Linked DNA regions of Struthio camelus. The protein of the gene in region 2 purifies or fractionates together with the protein of the main gene of each other region. This does not show direct contact. Links are inferred from orthologs where the notes say so. Each region holds a gene or a part of one and is shown on either strand. Other genes may lie near its edges. The genes, in order: CPEB1, SYMPK, CPSF4 and CPSF2.

Region 1 (7,013 bases), on a different chromosome or scaffold from region 2:
GCATATCCTCCCAGTACTGTTTCACTAGCAACGTTTCAAGAAGTGTTGTATTTAGATCTGTTCCTCGAAGCAAACAATCCACTTCTGGAACTGCTGCAGCACTAGCACAGGATCACATGCCAGGTCAGTCTAGTCCACAGCACTAAGCCCCTCAAATACCCAGAAGATTAAGCTGCACTGGAAATCATCTGGTAGCAGTCATTTCACTAGTCCAGAACAAAGTTACACCATACCAGCCTCAGAGTAAGTCTAATCTGAGGAGTTCAACATAATTGTTACAGCACTGTTCAGAGGAAACCAAAGCAAACAGCAAGACAAGTGAGGCCTTCAGTTTTCAGAGGTCCTACTGCTCTTAAGCACAAAAAAGCATGACTAAGACAGGCAAGCTAGAAAGCTAGTAGTATTAGGCCAGGCAGGAAACCACTACAGCTGGCCAGCTGATCCACAGGCTGCCCAGACACTGGTTTGCAGCTTTTACACCTGTTCAGTTCAGCTACACAAGACAACTCTGTCTCCTAGTGACTGCAAGCAAAGCTCATCTACCTAGAGAAGCCTGCAAAGTTACCAGCTGGGAGGCTTTCCTTTTAGTTCCCACTTGTTTTGGCACAGGTCCAGAGGGCCAGCTTGTTTCCAATAACAGCAACAATGTTTAAAGAAGTAGGGGAGCAAGGGCAAGCATGGCTGTGCAGAACTACTCTAGCAAAAGGAACATCAGGCTCTGGGCAGGTACATTCATCAGATCTTTCCTACGACAAAGGCAAAAAAGCATGTCCTTCCGTTACACAAAATTAAGACTGACCCAGTACTCTTTGCTTGGGCACAGAGCCTCCCGTTTTGATGCAAATCAAGCACAAGAACATGCCCTGTTCCCTCAGAGCCTGTGGGAAGTGACCACCTGCAGCACTAATTCTGGAGTCTCAAGCTCATCTTCGCAAGACAGTCTTCATCTGCACGCACTGCTTGGGTGTACTCTTAAATGCAAGATTTTAACCGATCTCTAGTAAATGTGGTTACTGAAGAGTCTTTTGCATTTGTAAGATATGCAGCAGACCAGCCATCCTAACCACTAACAGATATACCCTGCCTCCAGGGGAGGCACACTATAAAGGAATCTGTGGGAACTGTCTATACCAGGAGCAGTTGGCAGATTATGCATTACATAGGTCAGGCAATAAAAGCTCATCTCCTGCCCCCACCCACCAAGTTACAGCACCACCAGCAACTGAGGGGGTGCAAGAGCAAACACTGCCAGGCACCTCCACGTTGCCACGGAATAGCTCAATTATCCACTTTAGGCACACAGACGAAGCCCCCAGTATCAAGAGAGTGCAAACCCTGACTTCAGGCAGCTCTCTGCTCACAAGGACATGCAACGACTACAGCACTGGGGAGTGCCAAGACATGTTTGGTAGGTCCCATCAGGCAACTCCATTACATCAGCCCTCAAAACTCAAGCTTGCATCAAACTCAGCCAAACACATCACCTGGCAAGATGTCACGTTTGCCTTTTGTGATTGGTGTGGTGCAGACTCCACTGAAATCCAAAGAGTTGTCCAACATGGCATTTATTCTGCGGAATATATCTGCATTGCTGCAAGTGGAGAGGGCAGGGGCATCAGGGCTATCCCAGCAGTCCTTTATGCTCCTCCCAGGGTCTTCTTTCTGGTAGAAGAGAGAGAAGAAACATTAGCGTCTAGCAAGCTAGTATACACCACCCTGCTTTCAGCACATTGTAGGAAGATTCTGGATTGCCTCCAATACATTTCATATTAGCTTTAGCTCCAGGTCCTAGCAACACCCAAGTACAAGTCTTTGCACTAAAGAAACAGTTAAGCAAACAGGTCAGCAATTTGTCAGCATAGCACATCAGACCAGGACCATTCTGGTAACAAGTTGGTACAAGCTCACCAAGGCTAGGATAGACTTGAGATTAAGAGCTGTAGCTCCAAAACTAGGTTGGTAGCTGACACGAGATTGCTACTTCTCTCCAGCATGGTGCCTCTCATTACTAGGTGACAGGCAGAGATCTGGGTAACACAGATGCTTCTCTTCTCCAAAACCCATGTCTCAACACTGAGGGGAGGGGGAGGTCACCACAAGATACCAGTTTTCTCCCACGCACAGTGGCAGAGAGCAACCACCCATGTTTGAGAGCTCTGAACACCTTGGAATGGCCAAAGTCAGCCACCATGCCATCACTTTCGAAAGCAGGCTTCTGGAAGAGTGCGACTTCCCAGCCATTCAAATGTAGCTCAGAAGTCCTGAGGCTTCACTTGGCAAGGCAGAGAACTAAACCCAGACCTTCCCTTTAGTTAGTAGCTCCTTACAGGAGAGGGACATTACCCAGGAACAGCTCTGCTTTATCACAATCCTCCACAGGCACTGATCCATCAGCTTCATGGGGTTTGAGTCCAGCCATCCTATACAGGTCAAAGCTCTCAGTAAAGCTTCTTCTGCATAAGAGCAGCAAAACACTCCTGCTTCTAGTGCCAGGCCAGAGAACTGGCACTCCAGCTGCTTCCCCCAGCTTTGCTTGCAAGCTACTTTCACATCTAGGCTTCTTTCAGTGCAGCTGTACAACATTCAAGCCTCTGCCAATCCACAAGATGCCAAACTTGATCTCTAACCAGCATCTTCAGACCACAGGCAGGTCCTCCCATCACCCAAAAGGCACTGCAGCAGAATCCTGCTCTTGGACATGCTGAGCAAACAGTATCACTCAATTAAGATGCATATTAAAGAGGAGAGCAGGAAGGTACAGCCTCCCCAGTCTTGGCCTCTGGACCAGAATCCTTGCCATTAAGCAAATCTAGTTAGAGCCAGACTCCAAGAACAGAACTGCAGCTAAGCTGACAAACAAGGCCACTGCTACTCCAAGAGGCACAAAAACCTATAGCTTTAGACCGTGGAACATTTGTATTTGTCAGAGTCGTTTAATACATCTCCCTTTTGGATGTATTCTGCAAGAGTTTAGGGCCTGACTTCCCCACATTTCTCTGCCTCATCCACATCTTGACTGCAGTTAGGAGGAAAATGCCTTGCAGCCCAAAACTATTGGCATAAGCTTATGATCAGTAGCAAGCCTGAACCACAGAGCTGGCTTTATTTTAAAGTGATCCCTTAAGTCTTCCTAGTATGCAGCCTGCAACTGGATGCAGAAGGTAAGTCTAAACTGAATTTCACATGGCAACTGGAACTTTAATCCTAGCCCAAGTATGGGACTTGCATTCTCTCCATAACCCTATCTTCATGAGCAGCATTACTGCCATAACATAAAATTCTGCTTTCAAGCAAGTCCTCAACAGGCATGATTTGAGAGTTTCTCCCAAGCATGCAGGCTTCCTTCGCAGTCCGGTAAAAATAAAGGTACCCCTGTCCTAGAAGGGTGCAGCAACAAACTAGTGGATATACAACTCGTGTGATGCCTCCAGACAGGACTTGAGCAACTGATGGAAGGGATTTCAGCCTGACTGTTTAAGACCATCAACATCTATTCAGCGTTGCTGCCTGGGATATTTGTCTATTGAAAGATTCAGCCCACCCTCAGATAAGGTCCCAGAACTCTCAACACAGCACATGAGCATTCACAAGCCAAGAGTAAGCAGGTAGGGCTCAAAGCAAGCCTCAGGCAAGAGCAAACAGGCAGAGCGGACTTTAGGTCATCTTTATAAAAAGCAGCCAAGGAGTACAGAAGCTCAATTTAAGAAAGTATTGCCAGTCATCTTAATAAAAATAAGTGCCGCATCAGGCTGATTTGGCACAAGTGTGAAACTCCATATTCTACTCATGTTACTGCTAAAGAACCTCTTACAGCAGGAGGCAAAGCTTTTTCCTAGGAGTCTGTGCTAGCAAGACAAAAATAAACTCAAGTGGCAAATCAAATGCCTGACCCACTCCTGCTCATTTAGCATTTGATGCTTCCCACAACTGGCAGCACCAGCCCTGCCACAAATAAGAACAACAGAAAACAGCAAGACCATGGCTAATCTTTTCTACAGATTCTCCTTTTACTTAAAAAGCTTTTAACCTTAAGATTATGAAGGATACCCCAGAGATACTGCAGACAACCTGGACTCGGGAGCTGGCATCCCACACCTTGTAGGAAGTGGCTCACATCTCTAGACTCGGTCCTGGTAAAGCTCACCCCTCTCCCCAGACACCCCAAAACAGAGATACTCCTTTGAGAAGAGCTTGGCAGGTCTTCAGAGTGCACAGGGCCAAAACCCCTCAGCAACTTGTACTTTCAAGTGTAAAAGGTTTACAAACATGCAGCTAGAGGACACAGCCATGACTTTTAGTCTCATAAGAGAGTTAACACCAAAGCATAGAGAAGTATCATGTCTGAGGCTGCATCTTCCAGAACCTACTCAACTCTCAGATCCTCAAGCCAAGCCAAAATGCATTCTTGAGCTCAGCTAGAATTAGCTTTCAATGCTCTGTCTTGAAGGATTTTGCTGACCCGAGTCATGCATTGATAGCTGCACATATGCTGCATCTTCAGGCTTCTCTGAAAGTATACTGCCTGGGGTAATTATAGCTACAGCTGGCATTTGAGCAGGTGACCACCTCTGCTTTCATTGTGGCATCAGTGCAAGAGCAGTGGTAGGTCCTCTCTCTCCTGGGGAATCAGCAGTAACCTGGCACATTTTGTTAAACACTAATCAGTGACCCAACAACCAGTCCTGTCTGCTAAAGCATACAATCCCAATTCAGAACAGGAGGCAACATTTTATTGGTGTGGCCAATAGATGAACAACAGCCAATACAGAAGCGTTATCTAGCTGGTAGTCTACTTAAAGCCATCAGAAGTCAAACAGTGCTTCCTAAAGCCTAGTAAGGCACCCAGCCTCTCCGTTGGGAAGCAGAGAGTTTCTAGACACCATTCTAGCTCAGAAAGGTGAGAAAGTTCCGTTCAGTGCAATGCACAGTGGCATGGAATAAACAATTTGCAGGCTTAAAATTAAATAATGGAAGACCTGAAATAGGAACTCAAGCAGCATTGCACAGAACAACATGCAGCAAGGAGAGGCTCAAACAGGAACATGGTCTGCCATCTCAGTTCAGTTTAATCATCAGGCAAGAATCCATGTCCAAGCACAAAGATGCACCTCTAGGTTGCTGCAGACTGAGGCCCCCCAAGGATGGCATTATTAGGCTCCAGTCACCTCTAGCACCACACTCCAAATGAAACAGGGGAAATGCCTGGCTTGATTTGAAATAGGAAGAGGAGTTTGTGCTCCCTCTCAGTAACAGGAAGAGAGCTACAGAGCTCTCGCTTGCTGGCTCTGCATCAGAAAGCTGGCCGCTAAAGTGTTACCCTAGCGGCTCTCAGGTCTCTTGGGAGCTCACGTCTTGTCAGCCCCAAACAAATCCCATGACTGCAGCCTGCAGTTTACCTGCAGAAGCTCCCAGAGGAGACCAACAGTTAATAAACCCATAGCAGTTCAGTCCGTGGAACAAAGTACACCTGTGTAGCAAAAACCACCAAGGATGTCTGAGCATAAGTCGAAATGAAGGCACCTTCACAGCCCTGAAGACTGAGCTACACACATCTGTAGGAGAACTACAGCTTTCAGTCTGGCAGCTAATGAACACCAGGACCATCACAGCAAACCTGGGGCATCACAGCAGCACGACACAAGGAGTATTAGGATGTCCCAATCCACAGGGAAGCCACTAAACACAGCTCAGCTGCCAGTATTGTCAAGATCTACATCAGCTCCTCAGGATGTTTTGGAGCAGACAAGGTTGTCCACTTGTAAAACTGAAGAGTTGCTCATCTTCCACAGAAACCACACTTGAGGCAGAGGCATAGTGATGACTGAAGGGGTTCTCAGCACTGTAGTTAAGGCTACAGCCTTGAATCCTGAGACAAGATTTGAGATGCTGTTGGTGCCAGTCTCAACATAAGTCAGGATAGCTTAATATTTTGATCAAATCAGCTCTGGAAATCCCTTTTTACTGGTGTAGTTTGCTTCCCAAGCTGAAGTCAGCTACATCAAAACAAAGCACGATACCAGCAACTGTTCCTATCAAGCAATACTGCTATTTCAGCTATATTAGCAAACAGATAAAGTTTGCAGGTCCAATTCATCTAACTGAGGCCTGCACTACTTGACCTATCAGCACTCTCAGCATCAGCAGGGCTGAACTTCAGAAGTTTTTCAAGGTTTACTTTGTGTAGAGAGGGCCTTGAACACATCTGGCTAGAACCAAGACTGTTTGGAAGTGATTTCGACAGAATCATTTTACATGGGAGTGCTGACTTCAGAACTACACTGATTTTTGCCAAAATTCCTGTTTTGAAAGAAGCTTCTCTGTTGAAGCACCTTCTCTTTGAGATTTTTGGAACAAGCGTTCTGCAACTATTACCCAAGCAGCTTCTGAACCAAGTGAAATCACAAATGTTTGTTTCAACATGTTATCAAAGCAAAATAACATTTTAATTAGCTTAGGGAGACTGTTCTGGTTGAAATAAACTGCAGCAAAGCCCCAGGATGCTGAAATTCTTCACAAAATGCAGCTTCCATCCACAGCACTAGCTGGAACCACTTAGGAACAGATCAACTGCCAGTGCACATGGTCAGTCTATCCCAAGAACAGCCATAGTGAAAGTTGATTGATTTTAGCTGGGGAATACCAAAGGGTAACAGCAAAGCAGAGAACTTGTTTTTCCAGAAGACTTTCTTGCCTCTGTGTAGTTAACAGAGCACAGAGATTAGGGACCAAGTCTCCTGGGTGCCCAACAGAAGTCTTGCTACAAGAAGCTTCCAGTCTCCTGGTTTAAGGGTAAATAACTGTTCCCTTAGTCTCTCCTTAGAGGGGAAAAACTTTAAGAGCACTTAGAACCACCCCTCCCTAGAAAAGCAACTTCAAAGTGGTAAGCAAGATTAAGGGTTTCCACTTAACTGAAGAAACATACCCTGCAATCATGAATCAGAGCTCAGTAGCTTCAGGTGAGAAAAGCTGCAGCCCCAGTAACCTGGAAAGGCAGCAATCTCTGCTGCAACTGG
Region 2 (7,028 bases):
AAGGGCACCCTGGGGACATCCGCATCGACCTGGGGATGCCGAGGTGGACCCGGGCGCCCTGAGCCTGCCAGTGGCACCCAGAGGGCTCCCCGAGGTGGACCCGGGCGCCCTGAGCCTGCCGGTGGCACCCAGAGGGCTCCCCGAGGTGGACCCGGGCGCCCTGAGCCTGCCGGTGGCACCCAGAGGGCTCCCCGAGGTGGACCCGGGCGCCCTGAGCCTGCCGGTGGCACCCAGAGGGCTCCCCGAGGTGGACCCGGGCGCCCTGAGCCTGCCGGTGGCACCCAGAGGGCTCCCCGAGGTGGACCCGGGCGCCCTGAGCCTGACGGTGGCACCCAGGGGTCTCCAAGATGGACCTGGGGCCCCCGAGTGGGCCAGGGCAGACTGAGCCTCCGCCACCCTAGACTGTGGGGGGGGGAGGGTTTGGGGGTGCCAGGGTGGCCCTGGGTGTCACCCCGCACACGTGTCACCCTCCTCTTCCTCGTGCCCTTCCTCCACCCCCCCCCCCGGGGATTAAAGAGCTTTTTAATATCGGCCCCCGCAGCCGCCTCCTCCCTGCACCCGGTGTCACCCGTGGCCCCGGGCTGGGCTGGCACCCATGGGTGGGGGACACGCGCTGGGGGGGGGATGGAGGGGGCCGTGCACGGCCACGCAGGGACGTTGGGGCCACGGGGTGGGGGGGATAGGGACGTGGGGCACCCCAGGGTGGCAGCCCCCCCCCGCTGCACACGTGTGTCCCCGCACCCCCCCCGCTGCACACGCGTGTCCCTGCACCCCGACACACACACATGTCCCCGCACGCCCCGATGCACACGCGTGTCCCCGCACCCCCCCGCTGCACACGCGTGTCCCCGCACCCCCCCGCTGCACACGCGTGTCCCCGCACCCCCCTGACGCACACGCGTGTCCCCGCACCCCTGATGCACACGCGTGTCCCTGCACGCCCCGATGCACACACACATGTCCCCACCCCCTCTGATGCACACGCGTGTCCCCGCACCCCCGACGCACACACGTGTCCCTGCACCCCGATGCACACGCGTGTCCCTGCACGCCCCGACGCACACACACATGTCCCCACCCCCTCTGATGCACACGCGTGTCCCCGCACGCCCCGATGCACACGCGTGTCCCCGCACCCCTGATGCACACGCGTGTCCCCGCACGCCCCGATGCACACGCGTGTCCCCGCACCCCTGATGCACACGCGTGTCCCTGCACCCCCCCGCTGCACACGCGTGTCCCCGCACCCCTGATGCACACGCGTGTCCCCGCACGCCCCGATGCACACGCGTGTCCCCGCACCCCTGATGCACACGCGTGTCCCTGCACGCCCCGACGCACACACACATGTCCCCACCACCTCTGATGCATACGCGTGTCCCCGCACCCCCGACGCACACGTGTGTCCCTGCACCCCGACCCACACACGTGTCCCCGCACCCCTGCTGCACACGCGTGTCCCCGCACGCCCCGATGCACACGCGTGTCCCCGCACCCCTGCTGCACACGCGTGTCCCCGCACGCCCCGATGCACACACGTGTCCCTGCACCCCGACGCACACACGTGTCCCTGTCCCCGCACGCCCCGATGCACACGCGTGTCCCTGCACCCCCGACGCACACGCGTGTCCCCGCACGCCCCGATGCACACGTGTGTCCCTGCACCCCCGACGCACACGCGTGTCCCCGCACGCCCCGACGCACACGCGTGTCCCCGCACCCCGCCGCCGGCCCCCCGCCGCCCCCAACACTCGGCCCTTTGTGCGCGGCGCGGGCACGGGGCCCACGGCGCCGGTGGCGGCATAAAGCCCTGCCTGTGCCCGGCGCCAGGCTCTGCCGCCCCGTGGGTGCTGGGGGGGGGGCACCGGCCGCCCTGGGTGCTTCCCCCCCAGCACCCCAAAATTAGGGGGTGCAGCCTGCGGGCACCCCCTAATGCACCCACTATGAAGGGGCCCAGGCGTCCTGGAGGGGTGGGGGGCAGTGGGTGCTGGGGGGGGTCGTGCAGCACCATGCACCCTGCCCTCGGACCCCCCCACACACCCCAAAATTAGGGGGTGCAGCATGTGGGCACCCCCCTAATGCACCCGCTATGAAGGGGCCCAGGCGTCCTGGAGGGGTGGGGGGCAGTGGGTGCTGGGGGGGGTCGTGCAGCACCATGCACCCTGCCCTCGGACCCCCCCACACACCCCAAAATTAGGGGGTGCAGCATGTGGGCACCCCCCTAATGCACCCGCTATGAAGGGGCCCAGGCGTCCGGGTGGGAGGGGGGCAGTGGATGCTGGGGGGGGGACGTGCAGCACCGTGCACCCTGCACTCGGACCCCCCCCCAGCACCCCAATATAGGGGAGAACCACCTGCCCCCCCCCGGGGAAGGGGCCCAGGCGTCCGGGCGGAGGGGAAGCAGCACCCCGGGGTGCCACGTGGCCCGGCGGGCGCGGGGGGGGGGCGCTGGCCGGCAGCGGGGGCCGCGGGGCCTTGTTTATGAGCTGCTGCTGACGAAGTTTCCCAGCAGGCCCCCCCCCCCCCACGCAGGGCAGCCAGGCCTCGGGGTGACCCCCCCCCCCACAGGGCGCGGGGGGCCCAGCCAAGGGACCCAGGCGTCCGGGCGGCTCCGGGTGCCAACGTGGCCTCCGGAGCTGCCCGTTTTGGGGGTGGTGGGTGGGGGTCGCTCCACTCTGCAGGGAGCCCAGGCGTCCGGGCTGCCCCCACCCCCCCCCACCCAAGGGAGGACCTAGGCATCCGAGGCAGCACCCTTTCCCGCAGGGCACCCCGGGGTGGTGGCGGTGTGGGGGGGGTTCCCTGGCTGAGACCCAGCAGACTCGTGGCACAGGTGGCGGAGCTTGGGGGGGGGGGTTGTTCCCCTCTGACTGAGACCTGAGACCTGGCACACTTGTGGCACTGGTGGTGGAGCTGGGGGGGGGGTTGTTCCCCTCTGACTGAGACCTGAGACCTGGCACACTTGTGGCACTGGTGGTGGAGCTGGGGGGGGGGGTTGTTCCCCCCTGACTGAGACCTGAGACCTGGCACACTCGTGGCACTGGTGGCGGAGCTGGGGGGGGGTTGTTCCCCCCTGACTGAGACCTGAGACCTGGCACACTTGTGGCACAGGTGGTGGAGCTGGGGGGGGGGTTGTTCCCCCCTGACTGAGACCTGAGACCTGGCACACTTGTGGCACTGGTGGTGGAGCTTGGGGGGGGGGTTGTTCCCCCCTGACTGAGACCTGAGACCTGGCACACTTGTGGCACTGGTGGTGGAGCTGGGGGGGGGGTTGTTCCCCTCTGACTGAGACCTGAGACCTGGCCCACTCGTGGCACTGGTGGAGGAGCCAGGGCAGGGGGGCAGAGACCTGGCCCACTCGTGGCACTGGTGGAGGAGCCAGGGCAGGGGGGGCAGAGACCTGGCACACTCGTGGCACCAGTGGAGGAGCTTGGAGGGGGGGGTTGTTCCCCTTGGCTGAGACCTGGCACACTCGTGGCACCAGTGGAGGAGCCGGGGCTGTGTGTGTGTGCGTGGGGGGGGAGGTCCCCTCTGACTGAGACCTGGCACACTCGTGGCACTGGTGGAGGAGCTGGGGGGGGGAGGTTGTTCCCCTCTGACTGAGACCTGACACACTCGTGACACTGGTGGCGGATCCAGGGTGGGGGGGGGTGCACAGCGATGTGCACGTGGGATCCCGGTGCTTGCACACCCACGTGCACGGGACCCCCCGTCTTCGCGTTCGCACACCCACGCGGGAGCCCGGTGTCCGCACACCCACGCGCACCCCCCGTGTCCGCACACCCACGCGGGATCCCCGTGTCCCACGCGCACGGCGCCCCCCCACGCGCATGCGCCCCACCTGCACGCGCACCCCCGCCCCTCCCGCGCGTGCGCGCGGCGCCCCCTCCCCCTCCCCCCCCCCACCACGGCGGGCGGCGGAAGCGGAGCGGGGGAGGGGGCGTGGCCTCCCCAGACCACGCCTCCCGGCCTACAGCTCCCAGCGGGCAGCGCGCCCCTGGCGCCGCCGCCTGACGTCACGGCGCGTGCGCGGAGCGCGCCGAGGCCGCCGAGCGCGCGGGCGGCGGTGAGGGGGGCTGGGGGCGCCTATAGGGGCCCTATAGGGGCCCATAGGGGCGTCGGGAGGGGGGGGAGGTGGGTCGGGCCTTGGGCAATGTATGGGAGCGGGAGGCTCCGTGGGGCTACGGGGTGAGTGGGAGCCGGGGCTCGCTAGCGGGGTGGAGGCCCTATAGGGCTGTGGCGGGGGGGCTATAGGCTCCTATAGGGGTGTGGGTATGGCGGGGAGGGATCTATAGGGCCGTGGGGGAGGGCAGGGGCGTCGGCCGGGCCGAGGAATGTATGGGAGATGGGGCTCTGTAGGGGGGTGGAGGCCCTATAGGGCTGCGGGAGACCTATATGGGCCCCTATAGGGATGGTGGTATTTGTGGGAGGGGCTCCATAGGGCCCTGGGCCTTGTGTGGAGGCTGGAGGCACTATGTGGGCATGGAATGCGTGGGAGATGATGCCCTGTAGGCAGGGGTGGAGGCTCAATAGGCCTGGGGCACCTATAGGCTCCTATAGGGGTGAGGGCAGGTGGGGAAGAGGCTCTATATGGCCCTGGGCAGCGTGTGGGGGGCTGGGGACTCTATATGGACGTGGGATGCTTGAGAAATGGGGCCCTATAGGAGTGAGGGAGTGTAGGGGAGGCATCTCTATAGGGTGCTGGTCAGTGTTTGGGGGCAGGAGGGTCTGTAGGGACAGGATGTGTGTGGGGAGTGGGGCTCTATAGGGGCCTGGGGGATTGGTAAAAAGAGCTGAAGGCCCTATAAGGGGCTGGAGGAGCTGCAGGTGCCTACAGGGGTGGGGATATGTGGGCAAGAGGCTCTATAGGGCCCTGGGCAGCGTGTGGGGGTGGGAAGGTTTGTAGGGAAAAGGGGTGTGTGGGAAATAGGGCTCTATAGGGTCTGGGGGAAGCACAATGGGGTGAAGTATGGGGAAGCAGGAAGCTCTATAGGGGCAGGAGTACGTGGGCAAGAGGCTCTATAGGATCCTGGGCAGTGTGTGAGGGTGGGAGGCCCCGTATGGCCAGGAGCTGTGTGGGAAACGGGCTCTATAGGGGGAAGGAAACCGTGTAAGAGTCTATAGACACTACAGAGGCATGGTGCTCTATAGGGTCCTGGGCTTGGGTAGGGGGGAGACAGGAGGCTATTTAGGGACCAGGAGCGTGCTGAAATATAGAGCGTGAGTGTTGGAGGGGGTATGTGGTGGCAGGGCCCTCTATAGGGACCAGGATAGGTGCGGAGAGGTGCTGTGTAGGGGCCTGGATTGGCAGTAATAGGGAGGAGGCATATAGGGTGTCCCAGGACTCTATAGGGACCAGGATAGGTGTGGAGAGGTGCTGTGTAAGGGTCTGAATTGGCAGTAATAAGGGAGAGGCATATAGGGTGTCCCAGGACTCTATAGGGACCAGGATAGGTGCGGAGAGGTGCTGTGTAAGGGCCTGGATTGGCAGTAATAAGGGAGAGGCATATAGGGTGCCCTTGAGCTGTGTAGGGGGCTGGTGGGGGGGGCCTTGTGTGCCTGGGCTGTAGGGAGTGGGGGAGACCCTATAGGATAAGGGGTACTGGGGGTTAAACCTAGGGTGCCTATAGGGGCCAGGGGGTGCACAGTGAAGCTGGCAGAGGGGCCCTGTGTGCCTCGGGGGGGTTCACTGCGGGGGGGGTCAGGGTGCCACTGCGGGGAGGGAAAAGGGGTCACGTATGGCTGGCGAGGGGGGCAGTATGGCTGGCGGGGGAGCGGTGCTGACGCCCGCTCGCCCGGCAGCGAGGAGGCCGCGGCGCCATGGCGGGCTCGAGCGCCGACGGCCCCAACGCCCGCATGAGCGTGGCCTCGCAGTTCTTCGCCGAGGAGGAGTGCGGCGGCATCGACAGCATGAGCACCTCGGAGCGGGTGCGTGCGGCAGCGGCGGGCCCCCGCCTGCGACGTCCGCGCGGGGTCCTCGCGGGGATCCAGCTGTGATGTCCTCGCGGGGATCTGGCTACGTTGTCCTCATGGGGACCTGGCGTGGGGCTCTAGGGTCCTCGTGGGGACCCGGCACAGGGCCATTGGTCCTCGCGGGCACTCGGCTGTGACGTCCGCGCGGGGACCTGGCTCGGGGCTGTTGGGTCCTCATGGGGATCCGGCTGTGATGTCCTCACGGGGACCTGGAACAGGGCCATTGGTCCTCGCGGGCACCCGGCTGTGATGTCCGCGCGGGGACCTGGCACAGGGTCATGGGGTCCTCATGGGAACCCGGCCGTGATGTCCTCACGGGGACCCGGCGCGGGGCCGTGGCGTCTTCGCGGGGACCTGGCACGGGGCTGTTGGGTCCTCATGGGGATCCGGCTGTGATGTCCTCACGGGGACCTGGCACAGGGCCATTGGGTCCTCGCGGGGATCCAGCTGTGATGTCCTCACGGGGACCTGGCACAGGGCCATTGGGTCCTCGCGGGGATCTGACTGTGACGTCCTCGTGGGGACCTGGCACAGGGTCATGGGGTCCTCATGGGAACCCGGCCGTGATGTCCTCATGGGGACCCGGCGCGGGGCCGTGGCGTCTTCGCGGGGATCTGGCACAGGGTCATGGGGTCCTCATGGGGACCCGGCTGTGATGTCCTCACGGGGACCCGGCACAGGGCCATTGGGTCCTCGCGGGGATCTGGCTGTGATGTCCTCACAGGGACCTGGCACAGGGCCATTGGGTCCTCGCGGGGATCCAGCTGTGATGTCCTCATGGGGACCTGGCACAGCGTCATGGGGGTCCTCATGGGGATCCAGCTGTGATGTCCTCACGGGGACCCGGCACAGGGCCGTTGGGTCCTTGCGGGGATCCGGCTGTGACGTCCTTGCGGGGACCTGGCATGGGGCCGTGGGGTCCTCCCGGGGACCCAGCTGTGACGTCCTCGTGGGGACCTGGCACGGGGCCGTGGGGTCCTCGCGGGGACCCAGCTGTGACGTCCTCATGGAGACCTGGCACGAGGCCATGGGGTCCTCATGGGGACCTGGCTGTGACA
Region 3 (7,104 bases), on a different chromosome or scaffold from region 2:
GTCGGTGTCTGCAGAGGGGACCTGCAACACAAAGCTCAATAGTTCACACTTCATATACGTGTAACCCAACACTCACTAACAGCAGGTACACAGGCAGATCTTGCAAAGGAAAAATAGCATCACCCTACCCTTGCTTTATAGGCACAGAAGCAGCAACTGTGTGACATACATACCATGCTTACAGAAGCCTCTGTCATACCAGGGACAGTCTTTGATCTTAGACTCCGGGTCAATGTGCAAGAACGGACATTCTTTGTTACTGCATTCCCCTGTACCAAAGGCAAATACGCTTCTTAGCAAACGGTGCAGGCACAAGATCAAAGCACTCCCAAAACATTACCTGAATCATGTAGCTCCCACAAAGCTGTTACCAACATTTATGAGTTCAGGCACAACCTGCCTTGACCTAGATGATAAACACCAAGACTCACCCTAGGTGAGTAAAAGTCTACCAGACTGGATTATTTACGTGTGCTTTTAAAACAATGCGGAAACTGAATTCGAAAGAGCAGTCATGATAACGAAAACTAAACATTTAGTGCACCAAAAGTGTGGAGAAACTACAAATTGCACACTAACCTCAATCCAAGGAAACCTACAAGACTGTAAGTTTCTGACAGCAAGTTGCCTCATTATGTCCAGATCTCCAGAGCTGGAAAGCAAGTGCATAAAAGTTTTGCACCCCCATACCCTCTGCTGCTCATCAACTTCCCAAAATAAAAGTCATGCAAAGACCACCTACTCAGCCTACTCATCTCATACCCAAAACAGAACATTAGGTACAAAACCCAGCGAAGACTTGAACTTCCCCCCTCTTCCCCCAAGGGGCAAGCTCTTGAGAGAGGACACATCTACAACATATGAAGAATTTAGGGGGTAAAATAAGGTGAGGGGCTAAGCAGATCTGACAAATTACAACCTAACAGTATCAGCAGACACAGAAGAGCTGTAATGTTTTGAAGATGGATGAGACAGGGTGAGAAGGATGTATCAAGATCCTCTGCACCATCAGATTCCCACGCTAGCAAGGAACGTCAAGTAGGAGCTACAATGCCCCTTACCAAATTTGGAGTAGAAGTAACACTCAGGCATCTTGGTCATGTCATACTCGTGCAGAAACTCGCACTGGTCTCCCTTTTTGCACAGTCCACGTAGCCAGTGCTTGCAAACAACTGTCTTTTCCCCACTTATGTGTCGGAACGGGCACATGCCACCTGCAGAACAATAGGGCAAGGAAAAAGAAAAAAGAATATTTAAAATCTGCAGCACAAGAAGCTATGCACAAGACAGCAGCAACACTTGACTCCCCTCTGCAAGAAGAGTTTTCAGAAGACTTCACTTTTTCTGTAAGTGGCAATGGCAGAACAGGGAGTTCTTGATAAGAGTCTTCTTTTACTCTCTAATGAGCAGAGCAGTGCAAGCTCCAGCTCTTAATCCGGGCAGCCATGACCCACAGCTACTAACAAGGCATGTGCAGAGCAAGGACCGCTTGCAATCAGTTCAAACCTGTCTTTGCAGGTAGCCTTGCTTATTCACCCCCACTTCTTCTAAAAAATACCCTTACTTCACAATTGTGGCAGCTAATTCCATCTCAGTTATTCCCCATTTTTACAATATACCATGAGCATTCTACACAGCGATGTGCTAAGGAATCTAGTTTCCCTTTCCCCTCCCATCTGTAAAAGTATAATTGTATTGGGAATAGTACTTGCCTTTTCCACAGGCCGCTTTTAAAAAAAATTCACAGACAGCAGCACCTGATTCTGTGGAGAAAATAGCCAAAGAAACACTATTAATTTTTATGAGAATTTGCAGCAATTTTTAAAATATTTCCTTCCCTACAGAGACAACCCGGTTCTCAACATGAAAAGAGCAGTGTTTTGGTTTGGGGAGTTTACTTTCCAGTGCGAGTTCCTTGTTCAAGTCTGGCCCTCACCAATATCTGTAAACTTTTTGGTAAAACGTACACCAACAGGATTTACAGGAGCTTGGTGGTGCCTATTTAGCCTTTCGGAGAACCAGGTTTTGTTGACCAGGCTTTCCTCTGCTATTAAATCAATCACGTTGGTGAAACCAGTCTTTACAGCCAGGAAAACTGAAGTCTTATATTGTTTTGACCAAAAAGGACTGAGACGAGCATTAGGATGCTGTCCCTTGCTGATCCTGACCTACAGGGATCAGATGATTTAAGGGCATTAAAATATTAGTTTAGTAGTCTAGCCAGAAAAATTTTAACAATCTGTAAGTCTCCCTAGACTACTTGTACCAGATTACTAGACTGTAGGAGAAAGCTTAGAGCACAGGCCACAGATACACTCCAAGATGAGATCTTCCTGGTCCTTAAAACACCTCATCCGTGGAAGGGGAACAAAGAAACTGAAGTGCTGTGGAGAAAAGTCAAGTTTATTCAGAATGATGCCTCCACCTTCACTTTCTAGCCTGGTCTGGCACTAACTATGGCACCAAGGAAGGAAAGAAAAACATCTGGGTTGAGACCGAAGCTCTCATAAGGGACAGCAGAAGTTGGCTCGATGCAATAAGAGCCGGCAGAGGGGCTCAGGCCCCCGGCAGCCCCCGCCCGGGGCTTCAGGCAAAGCCGGGCCCCCCGGGCCGCTGCCGGCAGGAGCTCCGGCCGGGCCCCATCCCCGGGGCAGGACCCGCCGGCGGGGCGGGGAGCGGAGGGGACAGCCCGCAGGCCCCGGTGCCCGCCCCGGGAGCGGCGGCCGCACGCACTGTCCATGCCGGGGAAGGGCAGCGGCTGCGCGCCCAGCTGCTGCTCCACGGCCAGCTCCAGGTCGAACTTGATGTGGTCCACGCTGGCGATGAGCTCCTGCATGATGGCGGTGGGAAGGGGCGCGGAAGGAGGCGGAAGGGGGGGGGGGGCCCGGCGCGGCCCGCTGCGGCGGCGTGTGGCGATCGGCGGCCGCGGGATGCCGGGAGTCACCTCTGACCCCCCGCCTCCCGGCAGGCCGCGCGCCTCCGCCAATGGCGCCGCGCCGCCACGCCCCTTCCGCCCGCGCAGGCGCCGTTTGGCGCGCGCGGCGCCGAGCGGGGTGGCGGTCGCCTAGCGACGGCGGCGGGAGGCCTCCTGCCCCCCCCCACCCCCTCCCCGCCCGGCGGCGACGGGCCGCCATGAGGCTGCTGCTGCTGCGGCTGGTGGCCCGCGGGCCGCCCCGGGCCCCCCTCGCCCCGCCGCGGGCAGCGCCCGGCCTGCTGCGGCCCCCGAGCCGGGGGCGGCCGCTGCCGGCGGCCCTGAGGCCGCTCGGCTCGTCGCCGGCGGCCTGCGCGCTGCGCGGCGGGGACCCGGCCCAGCTCGGTCCCGGCGGCGCCGCTGAAGCCGCCCGTGACGCGGACGAGGAGGCGGACGTGGATTTTGGGACGCTATCTAGTAAATTTTCTTCCAGAAAGCATTATCACAAAACCACGTCGCACTTTCAGAATTTACGGCTTCGAGAAGAGGGGGAGGAGGAAGAAGAAGGGAAACCTCGGCGTGGGCCCAAGAACACACCGTACTGGTACTTCTTAAAATGCAAGGCCCTCATTAAACAGGACAAGGTTTGTTCCCAGTTCTTTGCTTGTTTGTTAAAGAGCGTTTGATGATAGAGAGGCAGCACGGTGTTGTAGACTTGCTGGGCCAGGAGCTAAAAGAGGATTCCGTTTGCAAAACCTGGACTACGGCACTGGTCTTTCCTATGCCTGTTTCCCCTCCGAAAATAAGAATCAAGTTAACTAGTCAGTTCTGAGGGTGTGCAATTAGTTCCTCTACAAATTCAACCACTCCTCATCTCCTCCTCCGTTCAGCCAGTCTGTCACCCCCCGTGGCAGTCCTGGGTTTGATATCAAGTGTGCTGCGGCTTCTCACTCCAAACACCTCCAACGCTGTCCCATGTGTATTGTCCTGTGTGGTCACTGTATGTCTTTACAGAAGAGAAGTAAAATAAGGAATGCGAGGAACCCTGTGCTCTCTAGGACTTCTACCACAGTCTATTAACACCCATTATAACTGATTCTGTTGCTGCTTCATCATGGATTTCTCTCCTTCCTGCAGCTGGCAGAGGCTCTGGAGCTGTTTGAGGTGCAGATGCTGAAGGAAGAACGTGTCCAGCCAGAAGAAAGCAACTACACGGTTCTAATAGGTGGCTGTGGCAGGGTTGGCTACGTGAAAAAGGCATTCAGGCTCTACAATGATGTAGGTTTACGTCCTCTCCTCATTAAAACTTTCATTACGTTTTTAGCCAAAACTGGTTTCAAGCATTTGGTCGTGAGTCTCTGACTCCAAAATGCCTTTGAGTCAATGTTTACATGTTGTTACCCTGAAAATCTTAAAAGCAAACTATGAAATTCTGGAACTCTTTTCCTAAAAAGCCAGTTCCATTTCTTTTTTTCCTCCCTTTAGATGAAAAAACGAGGCTTACTCCCCACTGATGCCACTTACACAGCCCTGTTCAATGCCTGTGCTGAATCACCATGGAAGGACTCAGGTCTGCAGAGTGCTCTCAAGTTACGGCAGCAACTAAAGAGCAAAAATCAAGAGCTGAACCTGATAACTTACCATGCTCTGCTGAAAGTGTGCGCCTTGTGCTCAGATCTCAGGATGTGCTTTGATGTACTGAAGGTAAATATGTGACTTTTCTTGTATTAAGCGTAGTCTACTCTATTTAAAACTCCTAGAAGCTGCCATATTGCGTAGATTTCTCTATTTCATTTTAAGCTCAGGTCATTTTAGAACAAGTAGTCATATTTTTGTATTGACTTTTGATTTTTATACAACAAAATAGTGCTGATACATATCAGGTAAAGTTTAAGTAGATAAAAAGAGGCAGCTGCAGGCTTAAACGTCGTTTGGCTTTAAACGTCTGTTCTGATCTGTCAACAATTTGTTGAACAGAGTATTTGCGGGGGTTCACATCTCCTCTATCTCCTTCCCTCCTTTTGAGAACGCATATATTGATAGCTAGCTTCTTTTATGGCTCTTAAAGCACCTCTTCTCAGAGGGGCCAGTCCGGCAGTACCCAAAAGGATTCCTGCCCCCAAGTTCTCCGTAGCTCCCATAAGGGAGAAACTAGGATCTATGCAGGTACTGTCAGGACTTTTTTCCTCCTGCAGCTATCATTCTGCTCCCGGTACTTGGAGTCTGCCCTGTGCTTTGTCGTTGCTCTGTCCCCAGAAGGCAGCGGCAGTACTTTGTGCTTCGCAGCCAGCTGTGGCAGACTGTAGGGGTGAATGGGAAGTTTAATGCTCTCTCTCCTCTTTTAGGAAATTGTGCACAAGGGTCACGTTGTCACAGCTGAAACCTTCAGCTTCCTTCTCATGGGCTGCATAAAGGACAAAGACAATGGCTTCCGCTATGCCTTGCAGGTCTGTCTTCGTGTACTCAGTGGGAAGGAAAAACATGACGTTGCATCTGTTGTTGTAACTCGTCACTTGAGCCTGCAGAAGGCAGCAGGCTGCTCAGAGCTGATGAAAACAGGAGGAGCTCAGCTCCTCCCAAGACAAGTTCTGTAAACTAGACTTCCATCAGGATATCTCATAGTGCAAACACCTGTAAAACTGTTCTGGATGATCTCATAGGACTGTACTAGCTCTAGGTGTCTATTCAAAGTCTAATGACATCGCATCACGCTGTAAACTTACTCCCTTTCAGCAGGTGGATATGATTAACAGCCGGCACTGTAGATATACTAAGATAGGCTTACATCCTGCTAGAAATGCTCCTGTTGTTTAATATCACATGTACCTTATGTTCATCTTCCCCTCTTCAGGTTTGGAAACAAATGACTAGACTTGGGATAAAGGCCGATAGCCACACTTACAATCTGATGCTCCGTGCTGCAAGAGACTGTGGAATAGGCGATCCAGTTTTGGCTTCTCAAGTACTGCTAGGACCCACTGAAGAGAATTCATCTCAGCTAAGGCTTGCACCCAGTAGGCAGAAACAAAAGGCGAGAAGTCAGAGGAAGAAGGGATCAGAGAGTGCAGCTGCTGTCCAGCTGGATGTGGAAGCCATGGAAAAGCAACTGTTTCAGGAGAACTCTGTGCAGCCTGCACAACAGATCAAGCAACAAAACACAGATGTGAATTGGGCTGAAACAGAACCAATACTGGCTGGTCTTGCCAGTGCTAACATAGCTCACAGCGGGACTGGAGCGTTGATGAGGACAGACCAGACTGAGACAGAGCAGGAACAAGCAAGCCAAAGCCAGAACCTGCATTTCTGCAACCTGCCTAACTTACTGGATTCCAAGATGCCCGATGTGGCCACGGTTTCCTTGGGGACAGTAGCCACACCATCTGATAGACTGGTTTTGATGGGGGATGTGGAGGGCTTCTTGAATAAAATGAAAGAGGATGACGCAGAACCCAACATTAAAACTTTCACATTACTGGCTGAGCTGGTGGAACCCCAAAGCCCATCAGAGTCCTCTCTGTTGGCAATCCTCAATGAGCATAAAGTGAAAGTAGATGTGACTTTCTTTAACACTTTAATAAGAAAGAAAAGTAAACAGGGAGACCTTGAAGGAGCAAAGGTGAGAAAAAACCCCAAATTGGCTCTACTGCCACCTTATTGTCTCGGGCCTCCAGTGTTACCTGCGTTTTACTGTGAGACGCATTTCTGTATCCGCAATATAAATTGGGAATCTTTAACCTGAGGACTGGTTTGTGGAAAATGGTACTTTCTGAATATTTATGGATTCTGTTTTAGCATCTCCAGCTCTGCCTGGAAAGCTACAGTAAGACTTTTTGGAAACTGATGTCAGCACTTGCCTCTTGCAGGGCCTGCTGCCAGCTCTAGCGAAGAGAGGAATATCGCCTAACCTCCAGACGTTTTGTAACTTAGCAATTGCTTGCCACCGAGAGAAGGATGGACTGCAGTTACTCTCAGATTTGACGGTAAAAAAAAAACAAAAACAAAAACAAAACACACTTAGGTTCAAACTTCAGGAAGGCAAAGCAAGTGAACTGTTAAACTTATAAAAAGACTTGCTGTGTTTTATGTGGTCAGCGAGTGTTTTCACTCCCAAGAACATGTAACTCTTGAATAACTGACTGAGAGCTCAGCTGGTCTGTCCCGTGCCTGCACTAGAACAGTAGAGGGGTTGCAGG
Region 4 (7,519 bases), on a different chromosome or scaffold from region 2:
ACAATTACTGAGACAGATGTTCTGTGATACAGAGCAACAAAGCCCTACCGTGTTGGGCTGTGGTCCAGGCTGAGAAATACACAAAGACCTACTCCTTTCTAAAAGGTTACCTTCATTTGTAGCGAAAGGCAACAGAGCCATTAAAAATAATTTAGTGAAACAGAACAACTTTACCTTTCAAGTTCACAATCTGAGAAAATTTCAGCTGCTGTATTTTGTCAAAGGCTGCATCTACGTCATCCAACGTAAAGAGAGTGAAGTCTTCTGTATTATGGCGGGACTAAAAGAAATAAGAAGTAAAGAACGTTCAAGAACCTGAGCACTCTACCATATCAGAGATTTTGTGTATGAAAGTATCAATTTAAATATACCTGATAGAGATCATACATAAACATCTGTCCCATTTTATATACAGGAATAGTTGCATAAATGGCACAATTTAAGCCCATTTTCCCAACTGCATATGGAAGAGCACCAAGATGTAGAGGGTCAGGATGAGAAAGAAGAACAGCATCAACCTGGTGTACATGCCTACAAAAAAGGGACAACAGAAGGAGCTGGTGAAAACACGGTCTGCATTGTATTCTATACTCCCTATTACAGTTGTTTTGGGAAAAAGTACACAATCTGAATGGCAAATGAGAAAATAAATCCCTCCAGGTCTAGAATGAAATGTTTAAAAGCAATTTAAAAAAATACAAATATTTCCAGACATTCAAGCAACATAAGAACTTAAATACCGAAAAAAGTAACTTTAAGGCCAGGTCACACAAGAGCTCTTGAAAGTTTCACATTCAATTCTTCATGTGCTTTCTGGTGTTTACATATCAACTGAAGGGCCAAAAATGTTTTCAGTACAAAGACACATCATAAACTGTTTACACATCAAAAACAGGTTACACATTAACCCAAAATGGACTGCAGCTGACATTCAGATCAGCAAGACCACGTAAGAGGACTCAAAGCTCAACAACACTTAAACTGATAGAGATGAAATCATAGTGTTTCTTTAAAAACAGAAAAGGTCAAAGTTATCTTTTAAAATTATCCATTTTTTTTTTTGGAGTATATAAGGTGACTCTTTTTGCCAGGTGTTTTGTAAAGTAAGAGTTCAAAATAAAAACTTACTGTCTAGCATGATCGAAAAACATGAAGCCTTGAAAGAGATGCCACGAGGGAAAACACAAGCTGGGCTGACAGACTCAGAAGTCTAGCTTTTTGTTCCCTTGGCTAGCAACGGAAGCACACACTTTTTTTTTTTTTGACGGTATTCTTCTTAAAAAGGAGATTTTTGTTTAATTGCTTCTCAGGTAAGGCATTTAACAAAACTTTAGAAGCTATCCTTAATACAGGATATTGCTCAGCTAAAAGACTTCAAATATTACAAGTATGTTAATACTGAAAAAGTAAATCTATAAAGATAGCATCACAAGGCTTAGTTTTTTTCAGGAATTTCCATGTTTCAGGCCTAACTCTGAAATCAATGCGCGCATGAGGAAAGCTCCTCACTGTAAACCTACAGATGTTCAGTACAAAACACTTGACATGTTTATTTCTTTGCAGGCCCGGGACACTAACAAAAGCTTTTCTCCAGGCTGACGGTCTGTTAAACCTAAAACAGGAGGCAAAAGCCAAACCACTTTATCTTCAGCTTTCATGCAATGAGAATTCTTTTATTTAAACTTAGTTAGCCATCCTGCATCAGTTTAGAGCTAAGCTCAGTCTCCCACAGCCTCTGTTCTGTGTTATGTTTATGAAAAAACAAAACACCCAAATCAAAACAAAAAAACAGAAGAAGTCTGAGAACTAGAGTTACTAGATTTGACTCACTGACTCACAAGGAAAAGATTACTTTTTACTGGAAGTGTTTTATCAGTCATACCTTTCAATTAAAAGATATTTTCAAATAAAAAAGAATGCTTTGGGATTTAACATTATCATACATACAAAACAAAATGACATTTAGAACACTTCTGAAAAGAATAAGATTTTTTTTCAGATGTATGAACTACTTACTTTCTTAGCGAATCAATAATATCCATAGAAAAGTTTTCATCCCAGCCACAGTCCAAGAGAAACCGAAATTCATCTACTTGCAACAGATAGCACAGGGCAGATTCCTCCTGCACCCCTGAAAGCGTCGTTAACTTGATAATCGATGTCATTTTTCTCTCCAAGTGTTCGACCTCCAGAAGAACTATTCTGAATGGGAGAAGGGAATGCTTCACTAGCTAACCCAAAGGAAAAGTCTATTTACATAGAGCCACCTCTAACTTCTTACACTACTGAGAACATGGAGGAGAACGGCTGCTACACACTACCTCAAATAATGCTGCTGGTTATTAGGTATTACCTATCTTTTGATCTACCCCCTTTTAAACATAGGGAAAAGAATACTTTTTATTTGCCCCAAGGGAATTTTTTTAAAAACCTAAAAACAAAAGGGTAGAGCCTTTGCTACCCCTGGAAAAAGCTGCCACCAGAAGCGAGGCAGCCAGCAGCGACGCCCACCTCGGCGGGGACGGCGCGGGGGCAGCCGGGCGGGGCCGCAGGGCCCCCGGGGCCGCAGCCCCTCCAGCCCGGCGGCTCCGGCGGGGCAGCCCGGCGCGGCGCGGGCCGGGGGCGCGGCTCAGCGGCTCCCGCCCGCAGCCGGGCTCCGCCGCCGCCGGGCACCGGCCCGGCCCGTGGGGCGCCGAGGCGGCGCCGAGGCGGCGGCGAGCCCCGGCGGCCCGAGCCCTGCCGGCAACGCGCCGCGGCTCCCCACGGCGAGGACGCGGGCGCGGAGGAAGGGGGCGGCGGGAAACGGGGAAGGAGAACCCGCAGCGAGCGCTGGCGCCGGGCCCCGGCGATGCCCCGGCGATGCCCCTCCGGGCGGCCGCGGCCGCCGCTACCTGCTTCACGGGCCTCGGTCAAGCCCACCGGGGCGCGCGCCCACCGCCTCATCCGGACACGGCGCCATCCGCCATCTTGAGAGGGGCGGGGAGAAAAGAAGGAAGGGCAGTGCGGGGGTGGCGGGCGACACCACCGCCAGGCCGCCGCGGGGGGGGGAGGCGGCTCCTCCCCCGCTCCCCGAGCAGCCGGTGGGCTGCGCCGGCCTGCGCGCTGCGCCCGTTGCCCTTGGTGTGGCCGCTGCTCCGGGCCCGGCGGCAGCGGCAAGCGGTAACGGCTGGGGCTGGCGGCGGGAGGGAGCGGGGCGGGTTGCGTGGTGCCGGCGGGAGCCCTCACCTGCAGCGCCTCGGGGCGCTTCCCTGCGCCGGCGGAGCCTCGAAGGCGGCAGGGGCCCTGCCGCGAGCTGCGGCCCGGCCGGCGTCGCGGCTGGCTGCGGAGCGGCCTGCCTCCCGCCGCCCCGCGGCGCCCTTCGCAGCAGCGGCGGCGTCTGTGGCCGTCCTCGGGGCGGTACGGCTGCCGGGCTGTCTCAGATCGTCCCGCAGGACACTCATGCGGAAGGTTTGGGCTGGTGAGGTTGGAACAGGCTTTGCGGAGTTAACAGATATGTTATCTTGCTTCTCTGTCAATGGCCAAGTGACTGCGAGGCTTGTCTTTGTGACTTTTTACTGATATTAGGGCATCCATCTGCAGGATTTGGTACTGTAAATACATGTGTTATGTTTTGCAGGAGAGCAAATTTCTGTCCTTTTAGATTTGTTTTAATGGGTAAATTATTTTGCTGCTGTGGGTAGATTATTTTGTCACTATTTTGCCAATGATGCCTTAAAAGAGTCTACTCATCTCTAGCTTTAGGATAAGATCCTATTTCCCAGCACCACCGAGCTTTTTTGTAAGAATCCTGTGTTTGGACCTGAGAACAGCATGCACCTTGCATGGAGTGTTTAATGGCCCTCATGTGTTTATTATTCCATAGTAGGATCCTAGTACGTGAGAGTAAAGGCGCTAGGTATGTCGCAGTTGTCGTGTGCAGCTCTATCAGTAACTCTTCTGTGTTACACTTCTCTTTCTAGCAGTCATGGTGAATTTCATGCAAGCTGTGCGTGATCACTGGGTTCACATCCTTGTTCCCCTAGGATTTGTGATTGGATGCTATTTGGACAGAATGAACGATGAAAAATTGTCAGCCTTCAGAAACAAGAGCTTGCTGTATAGAAGGTTTGCTTATGATACCTTTTTAAAATATATATGTTCTGTTATTTTGCAAAGTAGATGTGCTTCTCTGTTCTTTTTGAGAGTCTCAAGTACAAAAAAAAGTCAGTAATGCTGTCAAAATATTAAGAGGAAGAAAGCCCTAAAAATTTCAGTCAACTTTCATTAAGAGTTTTGAGTGACTAATGCCTACTGAAAATCTGTGCTTTAGGGCCCATCTTAGTGCTATAAGTCATGAAAGAAAGTGTGCGCGATTCTGTCCATTTGACCTATTAGTTGAGATAATTGACTTAAAATTTTTTTAAATAAATGTTATTCTTGGAAGCAAGATAAACAAATGCAAGAATTAGTAAACGTTAAGACACTTTCATTTATGTCTAAGTAGACTTATGAAAAGGATGACTAGAAAAATAAATAGAAACCTAAATATGTGCATAAATAAGAAACTCATGTTGCTAGGAAAAAAATCTTCAAATAAAATTTAATCATTTACTTAACCACTATACTTCACCATTTACAGTGTAATTAACATGGCATATTAACACAGTCTTTGCTGCATAGAAATTGTTACTGTTCCTTTTTAAATAAAAGTAACATTGTCTGAAATACTACTAATAAAAAAGAATCTCAAAGGGTTGAAGTAAAAACACCACTTGAAACATTCTGTAAACTGTACTTCTGAAGAGACTGTTTAAGATGGATTTTTCTGTATACTGGGCCCGGAGAAAGTGTATGAAAAGGGGAGGACCTCCAAACCACTCTTCTCCTCCCCCCCTCTTCCCTTAAGTCCTTCTGGAAATGTTTTTGAGTCCTCCTATTTAGCTGCATTTGGATACCGTACCAAGTTCACTTAAATGCACAATACTAGAGCTCTGACAAACTTTACCTAACAAAATAATGTTAAATGTGATAATTGCAGGGGGAGGGAGGGGACAAATTTATAAAACATATTTTAATGTAAAGTAACTTATTAAGCTAGGGAAGTAGTCTGTAGGTATGAATTTCCGTATTCTCCGTGTCCTTGATTTTTCTACAGGTGGGAAAATGCAGCCTCTTGCATTTTTTTGTGTATTGAAAATGGAAAGTGATCTTTTTCAGCTTCCAATTAGTTTTCCATTTTAAGTAACTAAATATTGATTTGATATCAAATAATTTGGAAAAAGAAGGTATTTTTGCATTGGTATAAAAGGCTTTAGCTTTCCAAAGCTTGTTAATCATACTAACTGCTGCCAAGTGCTTAGCCATGAAACTGTGCAAACCTTATCTTGGCTCTGTCTAAAACTTCAGCAGAAGCAAATAGTACTTGGGTTTTCCTTTAATTTTAACCTTTTCAGTGGATTATAGTAAAATTATATCTTAAGTTTAAAAGTATGACATCATATATATACATAGCATGTATACATATATAGCATGTAAATACTTGTATAAATTTGCATCATTTACATAATTATCGTCTTTTTTTAAATTAACCCAGCTTCTGTATTTTGAATGTTTAACGTTTAATGTTAGCAACTGCTGTGTCTTTACTGAGGATATGACTATATACCCATGGTATGGGCTTGCTGGCTTACTGCTCGGGGAGAATTGAGATAACTAAATGTGCTACCTCATCTAGATCAGTTCTCTTAAATCTGTATAAGACTGCAGGGTTAACCAAACAGCAGAAAAAGAATCATGCTGCATAATTACTAATTCTAGTCTATCACAGACTGGAAGAAAAGTAGAAATGTTGGTATATATGGTTTGCAAGTGACTTTTTTTTACTCTGGTGTCCCATGGGCTAATAATTCTGAGTGAGAAAGTAAAGTAACACGCCCACTGCTCACGCCACTGTTATTAGCACTTTTCTCACTGCAGTTAGTGGTTAAATTGCACTGGCCTTTCAGTATGTTGCAAAAGCTTCCTCTGGTTTTGTTTGTTTGTTTGTTTTTCCCCAGTAAAGTAATGATGTTTTTCTATTCAAAAGAAATAAGGCCCTGTTATGCAAAAAGTTTGTTATGTTATTAGAGGTTAGGTGTTCGGTGCCCACGTTTGAACTAATTGAAGCGGACTCAAGCAGCTTTGGAAAGAAAAAGAGAACATTTACCCATATTGAAAGATTCTAAACTGACAACACAACACTTTGAAAGAAAGTCAGATTTATTCATTATAATTAATATATATTTCAGTCAAGGTTTCTATAATAATGAAAGCTTACATCAAGGTTTTCTATAATAATTAAAACTTACATTTTTTAGTAATTATCCTACAGAAATGATCCTAATGTTATTCCCCTGCCTTTCTTTTTCCTTTCCACACAGAGAATTGAAACCTGGTGAAGAAACTACATGGAAATAGAAGCTGCTGATGAAATGGGAAATATTTTCACTTGTTCAATCAACATATATAGCAAGTTAAAAGAACAGGATTACAGTTTTTATTCTTGAGTGAACGTATAAGGCTGCAGAAAGGAACACCTACGATTCATCTCTGCTAGTTTATAATTTTCAGTCCTCCTTTTTGAAAGATAATTACATGACTAGTACAAGTCCTGTTCAGAAACATTTATCCCCGGAAGTCATACTCTGAAAGAGGGAGGAAGACTTATGTAATAAAGAAAAACTATGCAAAAAGCATGTATGTCGTTATTAATTTGTATGGTGTAAAATTCATGTAGTTCATAGAGAGACAATGTTTAAAGGAATATTTAATATAGATCCAAAATGTGGTAGAGAACGTATTTATATATTTTTAATTGAAATCTGAACCGTTTTCTCTTTAGATTTCCTCTTTAGACATGTTTCTTTGGAATGTCAGCAGTGGCAATACTGTAGCTTTGTGATAGTGCAAGAGAACAGGAGAATGAAAAGGATTGACAGGCGGTAAGAGACAGCAGTGAAGCCGACTTCTCTGTGTGATTTCTAAATTTCTAAACCAAGCGAAATACGGGAAAAGCTTTCGAGGGCGCAGGGAGGTCGGGGGGCGGATCCCGGCTTCGTGCCGCCGAGGGCGCAGCAGGGCCTCCCGACCGGCAGGGGGCGCCCTCGTGCAGGCAGCGCTCGCACCGCCCCGCTGCCGGCGGCTACCGTGGGGGTGGGGGCTCCGCGCGGCCGGGCTGCGGCGGGTTGCCCGGTAAAGCGAGGTTTGATTGGCTGGGGCGGGTCACGTGAGGCGGAGGGTGCTGGCCGTTGACAGTAAACATGGAGTCTATCTTCCACGAACGGGTGAGTGAGGGGCTGTGGGAGGGGAGGGTTCCGCTCCGCGCGGAGCTTTACCCACCCGGGGCCGGGGTGGGGGGCAGTCGCGGTGTCGCCGGGCCCGGGGGGTGCTCCCTCCGCGGAACTGTACGGGGTGGCGGGCGGGTCTCCGCTCCCGGCCCCGGCTCCGGGGCGGCCCTCGGGGCGCGCTGCGGCCGGGCCCCCTCTGGCGGCAGGGCTGAGGC

Evidence for each region.
Region 1: the proteins of SYMPK (region 2) and CPEB1 purify together in Homo sapiens (affinity purification with mass spectrometry; 3 studies listed by BioGRID and IntAct, counting the BioPlex papers as one, with this or other methods). This does not show direct contact. The link is inferred for Struthio camelus from reciprocal best matches to the Homo sapiens genes SYMPK and CPEB1.
Region 3: the proteins of SYMPK (region 2) and CPSF4 purify together in Homo sapiens (affinity purification with mass spectrometry; 4 studies listed by BioGRID and IntAct, counting the BioPlex papers as one, with this or other methods). This does not show direct contact. The link is inferred for Struthio camelus from reciprocal best matches to the Homo sapiens genes SYMPK and CPSF4.
Region 4: the proteins of SYMPK (region 2) and CPSF2 purify together in Homo sapiens (co-immunoprecipitation; 8 studies listed by BioGRID and IntAct, with this or other methods). This does not show direct contact. The link is inferred for Struthio camelus from reciprocal best matches to the Homo sapiens genes SYMPK and CPSF2.

What each region holds. Positions count from the first base shown.
Region 1 is NC_090953.1:25,267,574-25,274,586, reverse strand, and holds the start of CPEB1 (cytoplasmic polyadenylation element-binding protein 1), read right to left. Parts: upstream 3,010-7,013; 5' UTR 2,584-3,009; coding exon 2,344-2,583; intron 1,663-2,343; coding exon 1,485-1,662; intron 1-1,484.
Region 2 is NC_090957.1:1,740,543-1,747,570, forward strand, and holds the start of SYMPK (symplekin), read left to right. Parts: upstream 1-4,015; 5' UTR 4,016-4,063; intron 4,064-5,799; 5' UTR 5,800-5,817; coding exon 5,818-5,925; intron 5,926-7,028. UniProt on the Homo sapiens protein: Scaffold protein that functions as a component of a multimolecular complex involved in histone mRNA 3'-end processing. Specific component of the tight junction (TJ) plaque, but might not be an exclusively junctional component. May have a house-keeping rule.
Region 3 is NC_090956.1:4,548,480-4,555,583, forward strand, and holds the start of CPSF4 (cleavage and polyadenylation specificity factor subunit 4), read right to left. Parts: upstream 3,001-7,104; 5' UTR 2,844-3,000; coding exon of another isoform or gene 2,837-2,843; coding exon 2,734-2,836; coding exon of another isoform or gene 2,439-2,733; intron 1,764-2,438; coding exon 1,713-1,763; intron 1,215-1,712; coding exon 1,062-1,214; intron 270-1,061; coding exon 174-269; intron 22-173; coding exon 1-21. Other genes in the region: PTCD1 (pentatricopeptide repeat-containing protein 1, mitochondrial), read left to right, coding at 2,439-2,843, 3,203-3,555, 4,049-4,189, 4,397-4,615, 5,257-5,358, 5,763-6,527, 6,775-6,891. UniProt on the Homo sapiens protein: Component of the cleavage and polyadenylation specificity factor (CPSF) complex that play a key role in pre-mRNA 3'-end formation, recognizing the AAUAAA signal sequence and interacting with poly(A) polymerase and other factors to bring about cleavage and poly(A) addition.
Region 4 is NC_090946.1:65,729,635-65,737,153, reverse strand, and holds the start of CPSF2 (cleavage and polyadenylation specificity factor subunit 2), read right to left. Parts: upstream 3,009-7,519; 5' UTR 2,892-3,008; exon of another isoform or gene 2,818-2,891; intron 2,203-2,817; 5' UTR 2,166-2,202; coding exon 2,017-2,165; intron 532-2,016; coding exon 372-531; intron 281-371; coding exon 175-280; intron 1-174. Other genes in the region: ATXN3 (ataxin-3), read left to right, coding at 7,278-7,301. UniProt on the Homo sapiens protein: Component of the cleavage and polyadenylation specificity factor (CPSF) complex that play a key role in pre-mRNA 3'-end formation, recognizing the AAUAAA signal sequence and interacting with poly(A) polymerase and other factors to bring about cleavage and poly(A) addition.